Oryzias latipes: one gene and its partners. The protein of the gene in region 1 interacts with the protein of each later gene in a biochemical or structural test. Links are inferred from orthologs where the notes say so. Each region holds a gene or a part of one and is shown in the gene's direction. Other genes may lie near its edges. The genes, in order: erbin, acvr2a, kcna4 and arvcf.

What was found.
Region 2: the proteins of erbin (region 1) and acvr2a interact in a test that uses a peptide from one of them, tested with the Homo sapiens proteins (2 studies listed by BioGRID and IntAct). The link is inferred for Oryzias latipes from reciprocal best matches to the Homo sapiens genes ERBIN and ACVR2A.
Region 3: the proteins of erbin (region 1) and kcna4 interact in a test that uses a peptide from one of them, tested with the Homo sapiens proteins (3 studies listed by BioGRID and IntAct, with this or other methods). The link is inferred for Oryzias latipes from reciprocal best matches to the Homo sapiens genes ERBIN and KCNA4.
Region 4: the proteins of erbin (region 1) and arvcf interact in a test that uses a peptide from one of them, tested with the Homo sapiens proteins (3 studies listed by BioGRID and IntAct, with this or other methods). The link is inferred for Oryzias latipes from reciprocal best matches to the Homo sapiens genes ERBIN and ARVCF.

Annotation. Positions count from the first base shown.
Region 1 is NC_019870.2:4,436,271-4,439,834, reverse strand, and holds part of erbin (erbin), read left to right. Parts: intron 1-5; coding exon 6-1,392; intron 1,393-1,645; coding exon 1,646-1,783; intron 1,784-3,564. UniProt on the Homo sapiens protein: Acts as an adapter for the receptor ERBB2, in epithelia. By binding the unphosphorylated 'Tyr-1248' of receptor ERBB2, it may contribute to stabilize this unphosphorylated state.
Region 2 is NC_019860.2:3,422,146-3,426,405, forward strand, and holds the start of acvr2a (activin receptor type-2A), read left to right. Parts: upstream 1-1,430; 5' UTR 1,431-2,308; coding exon 2,309-2,363; intron 2,364-4,260. UniProt on the Homo sapiens protein: On ligand binding, forms a receptor complex consisting of two type II and two type I transmembrane serine/threonine kinases.
Region 3 is NC_019861.2:9,901,268-9,905,440, forward strand, and holds the start of kcna4 (potassium voltage-gated channel subfamily A member 4), read left to right. Parts: upstream 1-1,365; 5' UTR 1,366-2,974; intron 2,975-3,151; 5' UTR 3,152-3,758; coding exon 3,759-4,173. UniProt on the Homo sapiens protein: Voltage-gated potassium channel that mediates transmembrane potassium transport in excitable membranes. Forms tetrameric potassium-selective channels through which potassium ions pass in accordance with their electrochemical gradient.
Region 4 is NC_019867.2:23,347,133-23,351,347, forward strand, and holds the start of arvcf (armadillo repeat protein deleted in velo-cardio-facial syndrome), read left to right. Parts: upstream 1-1,355; 5' UTR 1,356-1,660; intron 1,661-4,215. UniProt on the Homo sapiens protein: Contributes to the regulation of alternative splicing of pre-mRNAs.

The DNA of each region.
Region 1 (3,564 bases):
TTAAGGGAAGAAGATGAGAACATGAACCCGCCCAGGGACACCACCCCTCTCCTCCACAATGGCAACGGCTCGGAGACGTCCCTCCCCTCCCTCCTGAGGACCCAGCCGCCGCTGCCGGACTACGATCTGTGCATGGAGAACAGGCTGGCGTACAGCAAGTGGGACCAGATCAACATGAACGTGACCAAGCTGCCGAGCTACGACGCGTACCATCTGGAAGGGCCGGACAAGGCCAAGAACGGCCCGATACCCCAGGGGGACCTGAACGGCCAGCAGTACGCGGATCACATCCAGAATGGGAATCAGAACGGAAGTGAGGGCGTGGGGGGGCAGAGGGCGGAGACCTCCTCAGTACATGCCGCCACCTCGGCCGCGGGCAGCGAGCTGTCTCTGTCCCGCAGCACGGAGGAGCTGTCTCCAGAGAAAAGGTCCTACCTGCCGCAGGTGATGAAGTCGCACAGCATCAGCAACATAGAAGCAGGAGGCATGAAGCTGTACTCCTTGGATGGAGATGAAGATGGAGCTGTGATGGGCAGAATGGTGGGGGTGGGCCCAGGAGCGGGGGCTCAGGCCCAGAGCATCGTGAGGAGCAAATCAGCCAGCCAGCTACTCAACGACCAGCCTCTCCACGTCTACAACAGCTCCTCCACGTCCTCCTCAGACCTGCTGTCCTCCTCCATGCCTCCTGCCACCAGCGGCAGGTATCCCGCTTCCTCCAGCGTCGGAGCTCCGCCCCCTCAGTACAACATCCAGTACACAAGCAGTGCCATGCCAAAGGAGAACATGTGGGCTCAGAGGTCACCGGCTCCTCCGGAGCAACAGGGCTACTTCTCCCATCCACCACACTCGCTCGCCAACACCAACTTCTCAAACCGAAACCAGGCGCCCCAGTACCCCCTGCAGCTGCAGCAGCAGAAGGGGCCCCCAATGGCCCCCAAAGGCGACTGGACCAAGGAAAGACTTTATCCTGCTGGCGGCCAGGTGAGGAGCAGCACTCTGCAGAGGCAAAGCAGCGGCGCCTCCGCCGCCTCCATCGGCGAGATGAGGCGCATGCAGCCGGCCGAGGGGGAGTACATGACGTACAGGGACATTCACGCGCCCCCCAGAGGCCCCCTGGCCATGGCGGCACAGAGGCCCTTCTCAGCCCGCACCTACAGCATCGACGGTCATGGAGCGTCCAGGCCCGTCAGCGCCAGGCCACTCCCACACGAGCTCTCAGAGCGGACCATGTCTGTGAGCGATTTCAACTACCAGCAAATCAGCCCCAGCAAGCGGCCCAACGCCAGGGTCAAGTCCGAGCACTCGCTGCTGGACGGGCCGGGCCCGGGAAGAGTCCCCGCAGACTGGAGAGACCAGGTGATGCGGCACATCGAGGCCAAGAAGATCGAAAAGGTAAAGCGGGATCAAACTTTCTGTGAGCAAATCACTTCAGTCTGTACCTAACGGAAACAGTTGAAAGATGAGTTTTTAGAGTTCAGCTCCAGACTAACAGTTAAAACAGTTTCAGCTCCAAAGTTTCTGTGCAAAAAAAAAAAAACAAGACTAACCACAACTAACGGCATGTTTGTGTGTTTTCTGTTTGTGTGACTCGTTTGGTTGGATTGCATGGTCACCTCTCCTGCTGCCGGTTGTTGCGTGTGGTCAGAATGCTCTGTCTCGCTCCTATCATTTCAATAACTTCCCACTGAGCTGGTCTCAGGACGGAAACTATAGGGACATGCATGCCAGCCAAGGCTCCCTGGTGTTTAGTGGCAGGGATGGACAGCCCTACCTGAGCTTCTGTGTGAGTACCGAGAGCCTCTGCGGTTCCTTCTGGAGCTCCAAACAACCCAGGAACCTCCTCTTCCTCTTTGTTTCACTTCCTTCAAGGAAACGCATGTTTCCCTTTTGTCCCGTTCCCCCATCAGATCAACAGAAGCCATCTTTCACTTCTCTTCATTTGACCTTTCAAATCAAATCTCCTAAGTCAAAATAAATGTTTTTAGCACTGCAAATCATTTCTGTTTTTAACCTTTACTTAAATATTAACTAAAACAAGGTTTACAGCAAGAGATGGTGCTTTTATTTTGAAATGTTCTCCATGAAAATTTTGAAACTATTAAACTTTATTGCCTTCGATGGAAAACATTTCCTTCTTTTTTTGGTGTAAAAGTAAAAGGAAAAAAAACACCTTTTTTCACTTTTTTGTTTTAAAAATTGACCAAACACTTTCAAGAGTTGCTGCAACTAAAAAGTGTGAGGATGCTCAGACAATATATCTGTTTTCCAAAACCTAATTAATCTACTCTAATAGACTGACTATGGGTATTTTTTGCACTAAATTAAAAAAAATGAATAGTAAATTCCAAGTTAAGTTGCTTTAAAGGGCTTGTTCTTAAAATGCATCGGTCATTTGGTTAATTTTCTTTTTCAACGTTATTTTATGCAGTGTCCTTTAGTAAATACGTCAGATTTACCGATTTCCCTCAACATAAATCCACAGCTGTTACATATTTGTAGCTTGTTCTTTTTGTACTCGAACATTAATTCCCCACTTCTATTCCCCTTTGATCAGTTTTTAAAGCCTTCCCAGTGATCTTAAACTCTGATGATTCCGTTTTAGCTGAAATCAAAAAGCCTGTGGCGGTTTTTTAGGACGTAGTTTCTGCAGAGCGGCAGTAGTTCATTAGAAATTTGCCTCAGATTTGTGGGCAGGACCGTCAGTGTGGAGCAACCCCTCCCCCCTTCCCCTCGCCGTTGCTGAGAGCTGGAAGCAGAAAGCTTATTTTCTACGTCACAAATAGACTATTGTGTTTTTTATAGTCTGCTGATGATTCACAACGATTTGAATAAAGGAATACCTGGAAATGCAATTTTTGGCTGCATTTTTTACATATTTTTATTTATGTTCTCCGTCATCAGAAAAACAAAAACAAGTTAAGAACTACAGTTTTCCTCGGAGGGAATCTTTAAACATTTGTTCAAAAGTTGTTTAGAGTTTAAAAGTAGAAAAGGGACTTTTACCAATTTTTATTGTTGTTGTTTTTAGGTTGCATGAAAGCTGCTCCAACTGTTTAAGTTTGAAAAACAGAAATGTTCCTTGAGAATCCTCAATTTAGAAACTTCCTTTTTTAGTTTACATAGAATTAGCAAACCAAATATGGGTGTTATTTGCATGAATATATTTAAAAAGAAAACTGATGTTTAAGCTGCTTCAAAGGTTCTTATAATGAAGACTAATTTGGTTTACTTTATTTTTCCACAATCTTTTAGTTAGAGTTGCTGATTTTTCCCCAAATAAATCAAAGTGACAGGAATATCTAACATATTAGACATTTGTTGCTTTAACCAGACTTGTATATTAAAGGTTTTCATCGTAATTCCGTTTGTTTTTTTGTCGTCAAATATTCAACATTTCCTTTCCTCTAACTGCAGTAGAATCTAATTTGCTAATTAACAAATAATGTTATAACCTCTGACATTATGTAGTAACAATTATAAGACACAAAAAAATCTCTCACTTTATTAGTGCATTATAATCATACCAATTGGTCACATTGCTCATTTGGGACACTTTAACGATGC
Region 2 (4,260 bases), on another chromosome or scaffold:
CCTTGACCGCACCTGAAGGTGATCGTGCAGCTTTTGTTGAGCGGCAGCTTCCTGTGACAGGTGAACTGTAATCTGATTACCAAGCAGTGACCACATGAATAATCAGAAACGCATATTTTATTGATGCTCCTCCCCCTCCCCCTTCGTTTTTGAGGCTCCTCTCCTCTTGTCCCATGGCGGCGTCTCCGCAGAAGTATTGGGGGCGCCCGCAGCCCCGGGCCCACCGGTGCTCCAGAGGAGACGAAAACCAACTCTCCCCAATGGAACAGGTGACTCAGCTTCCAGTCTGGCAGGAAAATCCCCCGAGACCTTTGACCTCCTAATCGTTTAGCAGCGCTTACAGTTGGAGATCTGCTGTGGGCTGTTGCAGGGATTAATGTCACGCAGATTTGGTAAGAGGGCAAACCTATATCTGTACTTCATGACAATCTCCCGGATATGAGGGGCGTGGCCTAAAAAGCACTATGCGAAAGATGGAAAAAATTTCCCTGTTTAATGGCTTAAACTTTAAAAATGAAAATAAAATTTTAAATTGTTTAAAGCATCGTAAAAACACAAAAAAATTTATTTGAAATTAATAAAGTTTAGCACTACAAATTCAAATATTTGATTTTGCTTTTTTTTCCGCTAGAAAAGGTGACATTCACACGTTAGCTCCACCCCACCTCATCCAGCGGTACGGGCAGGAGTATAAACCAGGCGCCCTCCAGGAATAACAACAATCCCTAAGCTCCTAAAGCCGCTCAGGCCAGCTGCTGACAGCCAGCCGTAGTTAGACGGTGGCAACCGGAAGCCGACAGATTCTGCCTTCAAAATAAAAACAAAAAAAAACAACTTTAAGCAAATGAAATCAAACTGTGGAGAACACGGAATATTACAAGATTAAGGGTTTTTACAAACTTAAATTTTAAATATAGCAATTTGGAAATACTTTTGAAACGGGCAAAGTAAACCAGCTGAGCTAACAAAAAGTAAAGGTGGGAAATGTTGACAAATTAATTCAATTAAATGTACATAATGAAAAAATGGTGTTGATAAATAAGAAAGAGAGACAACTGATTAATTTAAAATGTTGGTAGAGTGTAATTACATATTATGGGTTAAGATAGAACATTTATAAACAAGTATATTAATTTGAAGTACTGTAAACAGTTGAGTTCAAGAGGTTAGAAAACACTTTGATATGAAAAGTTTACAATTTACGAAAAATATTATTCCAATTTGTTTTGTAAAGAACTTTAGTAAATTCTGCAACTCTTTATTTATGAATTTCTCAGGAATATCTGTAAAGAAATTGATTAAATTATTAATTAGAAGTAACATGTATTTTTTAATATACATTTTTAAGTAATTTGTTTAATTTTCCCCCCCGTTGCATTTATTTTGAAACTTCCCCCCGGAAGCTGCTCGTTTCTGCTGCGCACGCCTGACACGGCAGGGTGACGCCATTTTGAAGTGGTCCCGAGCAGAGGAGACGGTCTTGGAAAATTCAGCTCGTCCTGAACAGCGCGGATTAACTGCAGCCTTTTTGTTTTTGTTTTTTTGTTGTCGTTTTTTTTTTTAGCTTTTCTTGCTACCGAACCGAACCTGGGTTCCCCGCGTGCACCGAGACCTATTTGGACCGCGGAGGGATTCGCTTGTTGGAGCCACTTTGAAGCGGGACGCCGCTTTTATTCGGAGCTCTTCGGAATAGCCTTATCCCCCTCCCGCTGGAGCGGCCGGAACCGCGGTGCTGGTGGCAGGACAGCCCCGCCGGACTGTCGGGCGAAGCCGAAGCTCCTAGTCGGAGTAAAACGTCCATTTTTGGGAGTATAAAATCCACGGGAATGAGCATTTCCGTAGCGTTTTGATGTGTTTTAGCTATGCGGCCGGAGCTCCGCTAGGAGAAGTTTGATTGGACGGCGGAGTGCGATTAATTTCCAGTCCGATGGATGTTAGCCCTGCCCGGCTGTGGCTCGGCTCCCTGCACCGCTCCTCGGAAGCCCCGTGCACCGGCGATCTGTCCGTCAAGCCGGAGATCTGGCGACTCCACACCGCCGCGGAGCCGACCCCCCTCGCCTGCCTGTAAACCTGGAAATACCACCATCGATCCCCTCTTCTTCATCCTCCTCCTCCTCTTCCTCAGTGTGTGGACTTACCTGGGATCGTTCGGATTTAGACTCTTTAGTGAATTAAAATGGTCGACTCGGACACACTGGGTTGTTTAGAGGACTTTTAACTGACAATATTTTGACTTTTTTTTTTTAAATTAGTTTATATATATTTTTAAACAATTCTTTGCATTGAGCGGATCGAACTCGGATGGAAAATGGGAGACGCCACAAAGCTGGCCATAGCCGTTTTCCTCATCTCCTGTTCTTCAGGTGGGTGTGTAGAAGGTGGTGGTGGTGCGGGTGGAGATTGCAACGCACAGCAACCCTGATGTTATTTTATTTTATTTTATTTGTAAGAATGCAACTGCACCCTCTGGGGTGGGTGGGTAACAAAACGTAGTAGTAGTAGGTCGTAGTCCGGTTCTCTGGAGCCTTTGGCCCTCAAGGGACCAGATTCACCCGACGCTTCTTGACATGTTGTGCACGCTCACAAACCCTTGTCACTTAGTGTGTTTTTGTTGAACAAGATAAAACATGGACGTGGGTGGACCTGGATGCCACTTCTTGCGTGACGGGGAGATTTGCCTCTACTGGTTCATGCTCTGGTTTCGTAGCTAGAAAAAATACTCGACGGTATGGAAAGGCAAGAGAACGTTCTTCTATGGGTCAACGATGCACAAACACCGGTGAAGCCTTGTAAACCGTGGACTTTGGTGGTGTTACTTCCTTGCCTGACGGGAAAGGTGCCATGCTTTGTGACCGGGGCCTTTCAGCAGATCAGCTCCTGTTATCTCTACCGGTTGCCCAATCGAGGGTTTCGAAACAGATCAAGCCTGGTGGCGAGAATTCCTGGTGTTGTGTGCAAGCAGGAAGGGGATTATTGGATCAAAGCAGTCCCATCAAACATGAGGAAAGTTTGTTTTTGCTTTCTGAGGTGCCGCAGGTTTCTGTTGCAGCGTGTGCTGTCCGAAAAAAATGCAGAACTTTCTCTTGTTTATTTAGTTTGAACAAGGCAAAAAAAATACTGAGCAAATCTGCAAGAAAGGAAAATACTCCAGCAAGTCCCGGAGGATCTTTGGTTGGGAAGGAAAGAAGGTTTCGGAAATTGGGTAATAGTCAAGGTCGCATGGAGTGCAAGGCAGGTGCTGTCTGCGTTTTTAGACCGCAGCGGATGATTATTCTGCTTGCTCGTTACCGTCTGAAGTGGGGAAATGAATGGTTTCCACTTGAGTTAGAATAATAATTCTTTGTAAAATTCAAGTTGAATGGCTTTTAAAAAGGATGGGTTAGACCGAGGCGATCCGCCCGGAGAGGCTGCGCTGTGAAAACACAAGGACAAATTCAGAGATTTCAAATCATAAGATGCCACTTGCTTTGCTGCTGCTGGCAGTTTACAGATACAGAAATGCTCTTTTTTTGTGTGAAATCATACAGTTCATGGTGAATAAAAAAATTGTATAAAAAAAAAAACTACAAAAGGACTTCGAAGGAAAAGCTACGTTAACGAGAGACCCGTAATCTTTAATATTTTACAATTTTATCTACTTTAGCGATCTGACAGCTTTATCATTTGATTGCTTTTCAAATCAAAACAAATGAAACTTTTTTTTTTTTTAAAAAAGCACTTCTCATACCTTGAGCAACTCGAAGCGCTTTAACATAAAAAAAACACAATATTGCAAATAAATACCCTTCCTGCTCCTCCCTGTTAACACATATTAACCACACTCAATGAATGCTTATAATAGTAACTTTAAGAAAAATGGATATTTATCTATTCGTTTCCTGTTTGTTGACTTCTATGCTAACAATGCTGATGTCTACTTCGAGGTTGGAACTTTGGGATCGCACACAAGTGGAGACCTTGAGACTTAAATATCTCCCAATTTTTTTGATAGTTTGCATGAAATCATCCAGTTAATGGTAAATATCATTTTTTATATTCAACAATAACAGAAAATTGTTTTTTTTTTTGAGGAATAAGACGATGACTATCATCTTAAGAGATCTGAAAGCTCAAGTATTTATTTGTTTTTTTCCTAGTTTATTTCCCTTTTCACTCTTTTTTTGCGGTCAGGCTTGCTTCTATGCTGATGACGCTTTTGTCTATGTTGAGGTGGGAAGTTTGGGTGTCGCAGAATATGAAGCGGAAATCTTCAAACACCCA
Region 3 (4,173 bases), on another chromosome or scaffold:
TGGTACAAAAATTAGACATATTTGGTCGAGAATACGATTTTTAGCAGTATCTCTGAATCTATGTTCACATCACTTTCGGCAACATGTATTAAAGCGGCCACATCCAAGGAAAAGTACACGTGCGTAAATGCGCGTTTTGGGCATCCATATTCCAATTCCTAGCGTTCATGCATTGCTACACAAGGTTGTCCAACCATTTTCCAGCTTTACATGCAAAACTCATGGCCATTGGTGCCAGTTGGTTTATCTGGTGAACCCAGACATGGCGACAAGCCTGGCCACGAATGTGTTATTTTTTCAAATAAAGACAAACCAATACTACTCTCCGGACAAGAGGGGGATCTACTTCCAATGCAAGGACGCTAACAAGAACCGAACCGTTTAGTACCCAAATCGCAAGATTTGCTCCGCTTTGACATTTTGCGCCAAGCCTCTTCCAACTGTAGGTGGCGAACATGCAAAAGTAGCTAGCAAACAGTAAAAAAAAAAAAAAAAAAAAAAAAGAGGAAGAAGCCCCTCCCTGCTTGCCCAGTGTGATACCATAGGCTAAACGCATAATGAATGTCAGGGATGTTTGTAGCTTTGGTGAGCTGGAAACGGAAATTTTGAAGAGTTTTAAATTTTCTGAGTGAAAAAATAACATAAAACTGTTAAGACATGAAAAAGAAACAAGCTTAGTGCATAATTTAGAACTCAAAAATTATTTTTGTTCAATCTTCAGAAGGTAAAGTGACAAAATTTGAATTGAGGCTTGCTTAGGAAAAAGTGAAATGTGGGTTTTTAATGGCTTATTTTGTAAGAAAAATAGTTGAGGAGTTCCAAAACACACATGTGAGAGTTAAAACACAATACTGTGATTACTGCATTGCTTACATATATGAAGTTTTCATTATACCTTGGCCCAGCTTTGCACACTTGCACCTTTCACTTACATTGCTGTCAAAAAAGGACTTTTTTCATTCCCAGATAGTGATTATGTTTTTCAAATACGTCTTCAATGTCCTCATTCTAATCAAAGTTGTATGATTAGTACGGAACAGATCCAGTATCGCTTCATGCCAAATAACTTTTGGTCGAAACGATGAACGAATGTCATCATCCAATCAGCAATGTCCCATAGTCCCTACCTTTTCCAGGTTCATATTCTGTTTTTTTTTTTAAACATTTAATTTTGATTTTTGGAAATTACTTTTGTTTTCCAAAATATTTCACTTTTATTTTGTTTCCTTTTTTTTTCTTATTTTGTTTGGTTTGTGGAAATTCTTTTGGATTTCTAAAATGTAATGTTTTTTTTCTTATTTGTTTTCCTTTTTAAATTGTGGTTGGGATCTTTAATTTATTTTTGCATTGAATGATTTGTTGGTGTAATTTCCACTTCAGGGCCACCATAAAGGCAATGGACTCATATTTCTTCCAAAGATTCAGCGAGACATACAATGAGGGCCAGATGCTTGCGGTGGAAAGCTTTAAAATGCTCTTGGTACATCACACAGTCTGAAAAAACATCAGGAGTGGCACAAAGTCGCCCTGGTTTCTACTGTTTTCTCTTTCAAAAATCTTTGAAATGCGCCCAACTGCATTTAACCTCTGAACTGCATGTTTGCAGCTCTACAAAACAGGTAATGCTGCCTATTTGGAGAAGACATTCTCCCAACTGTAGGAGAACCTCAGATGTCATTCTGGATCCAGAACCATGGTGGTCCATAAAATCTCCACTAGACTCTCCGTCCATTCATCGCTTAATCCAAACCTTCAGAAATGACGATGCTTGGCCAGTAATTTTCCTGTTTCACATAATTGGTTTTACCTGTTGACTCTGTCTGCGTCTATTTCATGATTTACTCTCCAATATGTTCAATCTCATAATATGATAATTAATTTCACTCCCATACCAGATGGTGTTCTTTTTTCCCCTAATTGAACCTCAGAGGAAAGCAGACAAAGGGAGCCTTAATGGTTTTTGATGTTTCCTCATGAAGGAAACTAATAAACATACACTTAAGGATTAATGAAGGTGTAAATTTCAGAAGGAAAACTTGATATTGGCGGGCTTTAAAAATATCAAACCTGATATTTGCATCTACTTTAAAGTTCCCGTCATTTCATTTCAATTCTGCATCAAAAAGAATAGATTCCTCCCGCCGCTTCCTCTGAGCCAACATGGTAAACAGTAAAGGTACAATTCTAATTTCGTGAGGAAGCATGCGCTCTGGTCTAATCACGTGGTTTTGTGAATGAAAAGACAGCGCTGCCATAGTTATTTTCGGGGAGAGAAGCGATGGTAAAGCGGGAGAGGGGCCTCAGCATTGAGACTGCAGCACGGCGCGCAGTGACGCGCTGCATCCACTGGGGGAGGACCGAGCACCGCCTGCGCGCGCTGCGACGCAGGAACCACTTTCTCACCGAGATTCTCCATCATCACTCATACAATGGGAGGGATACAGGAGCATAGGTAGGGATACAGAGGCAGACAGACAGAGGCGTGATGCTCACACTTAGCCGTGGGGACATTTACCCCCTCATCAATGCCTTGCTAAACTTTCCCCCACCCTTGGTTCTTTTTGACCGGGATTGCGCGGAGCAGTCAGTAATGCCAACTCCCTAATCGCACACCTTATTCTACTCCTCCCTCCTATTTCCCCCCCTAAAAGCCGAATGTTGCCTCTATACAGTGAGCGATGCTGCAGGAACGGGGGCCGAAGTGCCAATAGATCCTGTTGAATTGAGACAAGACGTCGAGACGCAGCCAAAAAAAAAGTGTCATCTCCAGAGTGCGTCAGAGCACGGATGTATATACTGGATGTGGATTTTGGTCGCTGGTTGGACACGACGAAGGATTTGGGTATTTTAACGTCCAGAAATTCTAACAGGAATTTGAGGAAACATGTGCATCCTCGCCTCCTATTTCTTCTCCTCCTCCTCCAGCGGATTTGTTTTGGGTGTTGAGGCGGTTTGATTTGGCACCTTTTCAAATGTAAGTATGGATGAAAGGACACTTGTATGTGGAAACCCTGTGCGTAATGTTCGTTTTGACGTTTTTCTATTCGATATTAGCAGTCTAATGATATTATTAATGAAGTTTTATAATCTGCATGATGTATGTAGTTTTCTTGCTATAATATTTACACCTCCCTCTTCCTTATTCTTGCAGGATCTGCTGTAAACATGAGGAATAAAAGTAATTCTGCTTAACCGGGAGTCTACAATACGGCAGACAATATTTTTTGTACCATTTTTTCTTTTGCTTTTCCTCTTATTTTTGGATCCCAGCACATGAGAATGGCATCATCGGGTGACCACGGCAGAGCCAAGGACGCATTTAGGCGCCGATCTCTGGGAAAATAACCACCTGATGGGCTCCGGAGAAGCCGCGGACAGACTGCTTTGGTGTAGCTTGTTGACTCGGTGATTTATAATGCTGTGCATATAGAGGAGGGGGGGCTGCAACTTTTGTCAGAGCGTCTGCGTAACAGGCTATTCCACCGGCCTCTGGATTTTTTTTTTTGTGATGCTAATGATGTCATGCAATCCTAGAGTGTTTGTACCAACATGAGAAGATGGGGCTTCATAACCCCCATTATGTGAGTAGCTTCACTGAACCTGAAGCAGACAGATGTTTCTTGACCTGACCATCTGATTGATCAGAACGGTTCATGCCTTATTCACCCTCCCTGCGCGCGCCGGGCTCCAACTTTTCTCCTCTGCTGTGCGTCCACATCACCTTGAGGCGTTTTATATAGCGCTCAGACAGACTTAAAATGGAGTTTGCTATGGTGGGCGCGGATGGCGGGTGCAACAGTCACCTGCCGTACGGATATGCCCAAGCACGGGCGCGTGAGAGGGAGCGCGAGAGGGAGCGTCAGGCTGCTCAGTCCAGAGCGGCGGCTGCTGCGGCGGCGACCGACGGGGGCCCTGCTGCGGAGGGAGGAGGAGGAGGCGGCCATGGAGGGGGGTCCATCTCCACCACCACCTCCTCGAGCGCTCATCTCCTTAACAACCGCCAGCATCAGTCTCGCGCCGCCTCCTCCTCAACGAGCGCCAACATCAGCAGCGGCGCCGCCTCGCGCCCCTCCTCCTCCTCCTGGCACCAGCAGGATCCCGAGCAGCAGCAGCAGAGAGTTCTCAGAGAGCGGAAAAAGCAGCGCGGCGTCGGACGGTGGAGACGCAACCGGG
Region 4 (4,215 bases), on another chromosome or scaffold:
CACGATCTGATTATCACTTCTTCCACATTGGTCTTCAGGTGTAAGTCATACCTGAAATAAAAGAAGTAATTAAAGATATTTGAGTTTTACGTAATTGTGATATAGAAACATCAGGACTGCACAAATCACTATATATCCTAAATTACAATTAAGCTCAAAATCTAAAAATAAAATACATTTTGTCAGAGTATATAAATAACACAATTACAAAAGCAATGACCCACACAGCAAAGAAAGAGAGTCACCAAGCACGACATTCGGTAGACTAGTATTTACCAGACGCCTGAACTCGTTTATAGACACCTTATTTCGAATGAAACAAAGACAGGTTCAGTAACACAGCACTAATGTAAATTTAGTTTTACTAAACTGCTAACAAATTAGCATACTTACAAGTGACGAGGAAACAAACCCAACGGATCAAAAATATCTGGCAAACTGGGTTAAAGGCGACACAATACACACAAAAAATGGCGGCTTGATCAAATTGTTAATTCTGCCCTTTACTAAATACAGTGCTGAATTATGACTGACTTAAACTCACTGCCCCTTTATCGTGCTTGTTGTCAACTCAAAGGAAGTCCTTCTACAGTATAACTTCGATTTGAGGTTTTACTCACACCGACAGACTCCACCAATGGCCTGGGTTAGAGGGGTTCCTTTAACCCCGCCCGGTTAGGCACTTTAAATGTACAGAACGAACGAATCTATAAAGATGCTATTCGATTGGTCGCCTTACTCACAAAGTTTGCCACTTTGACAGCCACAATTCCGGTTAGTTAGTTTTCTTCAAAACAAAAGCAAGCGTAACAAAAAGAGTAATCAGAAAATGTTGGAATGACTACAAATGTTAGACATGATATACAGAATTTTGCAAAATCACTCAATATGTAATATTTCGGTTGCTGTATAAGGTTATTTGCAAGCCAAAACAAAATGGCAATCATATTTGCTGCAACAAAGCTTTTATTTTGAAAATGCTACTTGGCATCCTGAGTTTTTTTTACATAAAGATGAGAGAACCGCACTACCAGTTATTTTAACAGTAAATAGGCAGTCTGAGGTATTTTAAGACTACTTAAATGAAACAAGCTAAATAAAAAATATATTTAGAAAAGTGCAACTAATTTACAAACGTATGCGTTAATTATTTGCATATTAACATTTTAACTTAAACATTTTAAAGTCACTAGGCCAGTTAATAAAAAAAAGGCGCAGCCAATAAGAATTAGGTTTTTGTTGCAGATAAACACATTTAAGTGTCAGTTGAAAATATTCAAAAAGAAAGTCCGCCTATGAGTGTGTGTGTGGATGGGCGGAGACACTCAGCGTGACCAACAGAATCGTGCTCTGCCGTGGATGAGGGATAAAGGCTTGCTCTGCTTTTCATCCACCGCCACATCGTAGTTACTATTCGTCGTTACTAACGACGTTTCCTTCTATTTAACTTTTAATACACTGAAATGACTTCATTTAACCCCCGCGAGGACTGAGAGGACCAAACCATTTGTAAAGCCTGGCAACTTTGCTTTGAGATCTAATATATCTGCAGAGTAGACAGCTCTTCCTGCCGTGGCCAAAATAACAGCTGAGATTCGGAGTAAACCCCCCCAGTGCAGCGTCTCCTCGTCTGCGAAGACCAGCACGAGGACTAACTGAGGTAATTATTGCTGTTTTGTAGTGGGGGACCGTTTCAACTTAGTGGGCTTTGACGCCGTTGGTATAATAATGGGGAGCAATGTGAACTGGGGGAAATTGCAGGGGGAGTTTCCGACGCTTCTTTCCTAAGGATTCAATGGAGAAGACGAGGTTGTGCAATTATATTCAGTTTAAGCCTCCTAATATTTATTTTTTGTTATTATTGTATTATTATTATTTGTTAACTAGAGCTATTCGTATGTAATGTTTACTATTTTTGCGCCACAAATCTGTAGATGCTCATGAACGGAAGCAGTCAAGTGCAGCGCACCGCACCAAGCTGTCAATCTTCAGCCCAGCTACTACTCCATTGTTATCCCCCTGACTGTTTGTGAGTGGGTTGCCATGGAGAGTCTTCCGGTGCCTCTCCCGTAAATACCTTATTTGGAGGAATGGGCGGCTGTAGTGATGTTGGGTTATGGCCTTCATGTATTCATGTCCCGCGCGAGTTAGTGCCAGAATGAGCGAGTGGTTCTCATCAGCGCCAAAGCCTTAAATGAAGTTCTCAACAGACTCTGATTGATCTCTGTTTATGCTTTCACACCCTGCTAGCCTCAGGATGCAGAAGGATGCAATTAAGGCAATTACCTGTGAGCACGTGGCACGAATTAGCATACATTTGGTTCTAATTGGGAACGCACACGCTAGACCAATTAAAAGTCTCAGTATAATTCAAAGAGTTTTCATTAAAATTTATGTAGTTTGAGATGTTACCATGTTTAAAAAAACTATTGAAAATAAACATATTTACAGAACAAGGGTGGATTCAAAACAGGATTGAACATAACATTTTTACACAAAAAAATTACAGCAAGTAACATGTTAATAAGAAACGTTTGGTTAGCAAATGGCAAATAGAGAATATATATATATATATATATATATATATATATATATATATATATATATATATATATATATATATATATAAACGAGAAAAAATTACTTAGCAAACAGGGAAATACAAAATTCTACTGCTTTGGGAGTTTGACTATTTTCAAGAGTGTTATAAAACAGATGAAGTTCTGTAATAAATAAATATAAATTTTACTTTTTTATTTAAAAGTAATTACTTTGCAGTATTTTCTATGTCTTTACAAACAAAACAGAATAGGTTATTATATGTTTATATAATTATATTTTATTATATATTATTATTGCTCAGCCGGCTAAGCGGAGCATTGTCACAGTAACATGACAACACGCAGCACCACGTGACAAATAGTCCGCTTTTTGTTAAATAAAAAGTGATCTAATAACAATAACAAGAATAAAGCACTAAAAATCGATTGATTATTTATTTCTTTTGTAAGTGACCATGGGATAAGCGGGTTAATGGCCTTCGAAGTGTGGATTATCAGAAATTAATGCACTTCGGCGAAGCAGCCATCCTCTGTTTCGCGTCGGACAGTTCAGGCTTCTACAGCGTGCTTTAATTTCTGATAATGCAGACTTTGTTGGCCATTACTGGCTACTTAACTTAAATTGTTCCGGTTTAGTCTGGAGAAGTATTCAGTTAGTGTATGTATACATGTACGCACGATGCCATCACTTGATACTTCTTGTATCAGAATTGGACTACATTGACTTTCTGTCATGTCAATATGTTGAGTAAAATAAAAACAAAATGCTACCTCATAGGTTTACGCTAACTATGATGATGCCATCGCTTGGTACTTCCGATGGGATCGGAAGAGAATTGCCCCAATCGGTACAAAATGTGACACAATTTGATGGCATCACCCACGATTGGAATTTTATTTAGAATTTTTATATAGTACAATTGTGTGCATATCACACCAGTGGCCCATACTAGCAAGTGTATGAGCAAGATGTTGTACATGTTAAAAAATACCAGTGAAACTTTGGAGACAATCATGTCGAGCTTAAAAAGTATGAATGCCATTCAGAGGTTCATCGCAGTTATCATGGACAGTTGCAAGTGAAACCAACCTTAATATGAACTAAACTGCATGATTGTGGTAGGGACACGATACGATTGATGCGATAGCTGATTACTATGAAGTATAAACCAGGCATTAGATAATTTGATCATTAACTCTCATTGATTGACTCGGATGTGTTGGAATTCAAGAAAAAAGATTGTCAAACAAATATGTGACTTACTAACTTATTAAGTTTGCCTATAATGTGTTTCACAGGCTATCTTTATTTTTATTTTTTTAGCTGACTGAAGTGATGGTAGTGAGTGGTTAGGAGGAAGCCAATCCGGACCTGAAGTGAATGGTCCTTTTGTTGGACATGCACCTGCAGAGCTCTTCCTGCTGCTCATGAAGTGATTAACATTCACCTCCAACCTCTCTGTCCTTTCCATTTTCAAGTCCCTAGGCCAAAATAACCCAGACTCCAATGTGTGGAGTTGACACCTGGTCTGCATCACCCACCCAGTAAAGCCAATAACACATGCCTTTGTCTCTACCCACTCAACACACCATGAATACAGAAGTGTAACATGGTTATATCTATTACAGGTTAGAGGTATGAAAAGGAAATCAC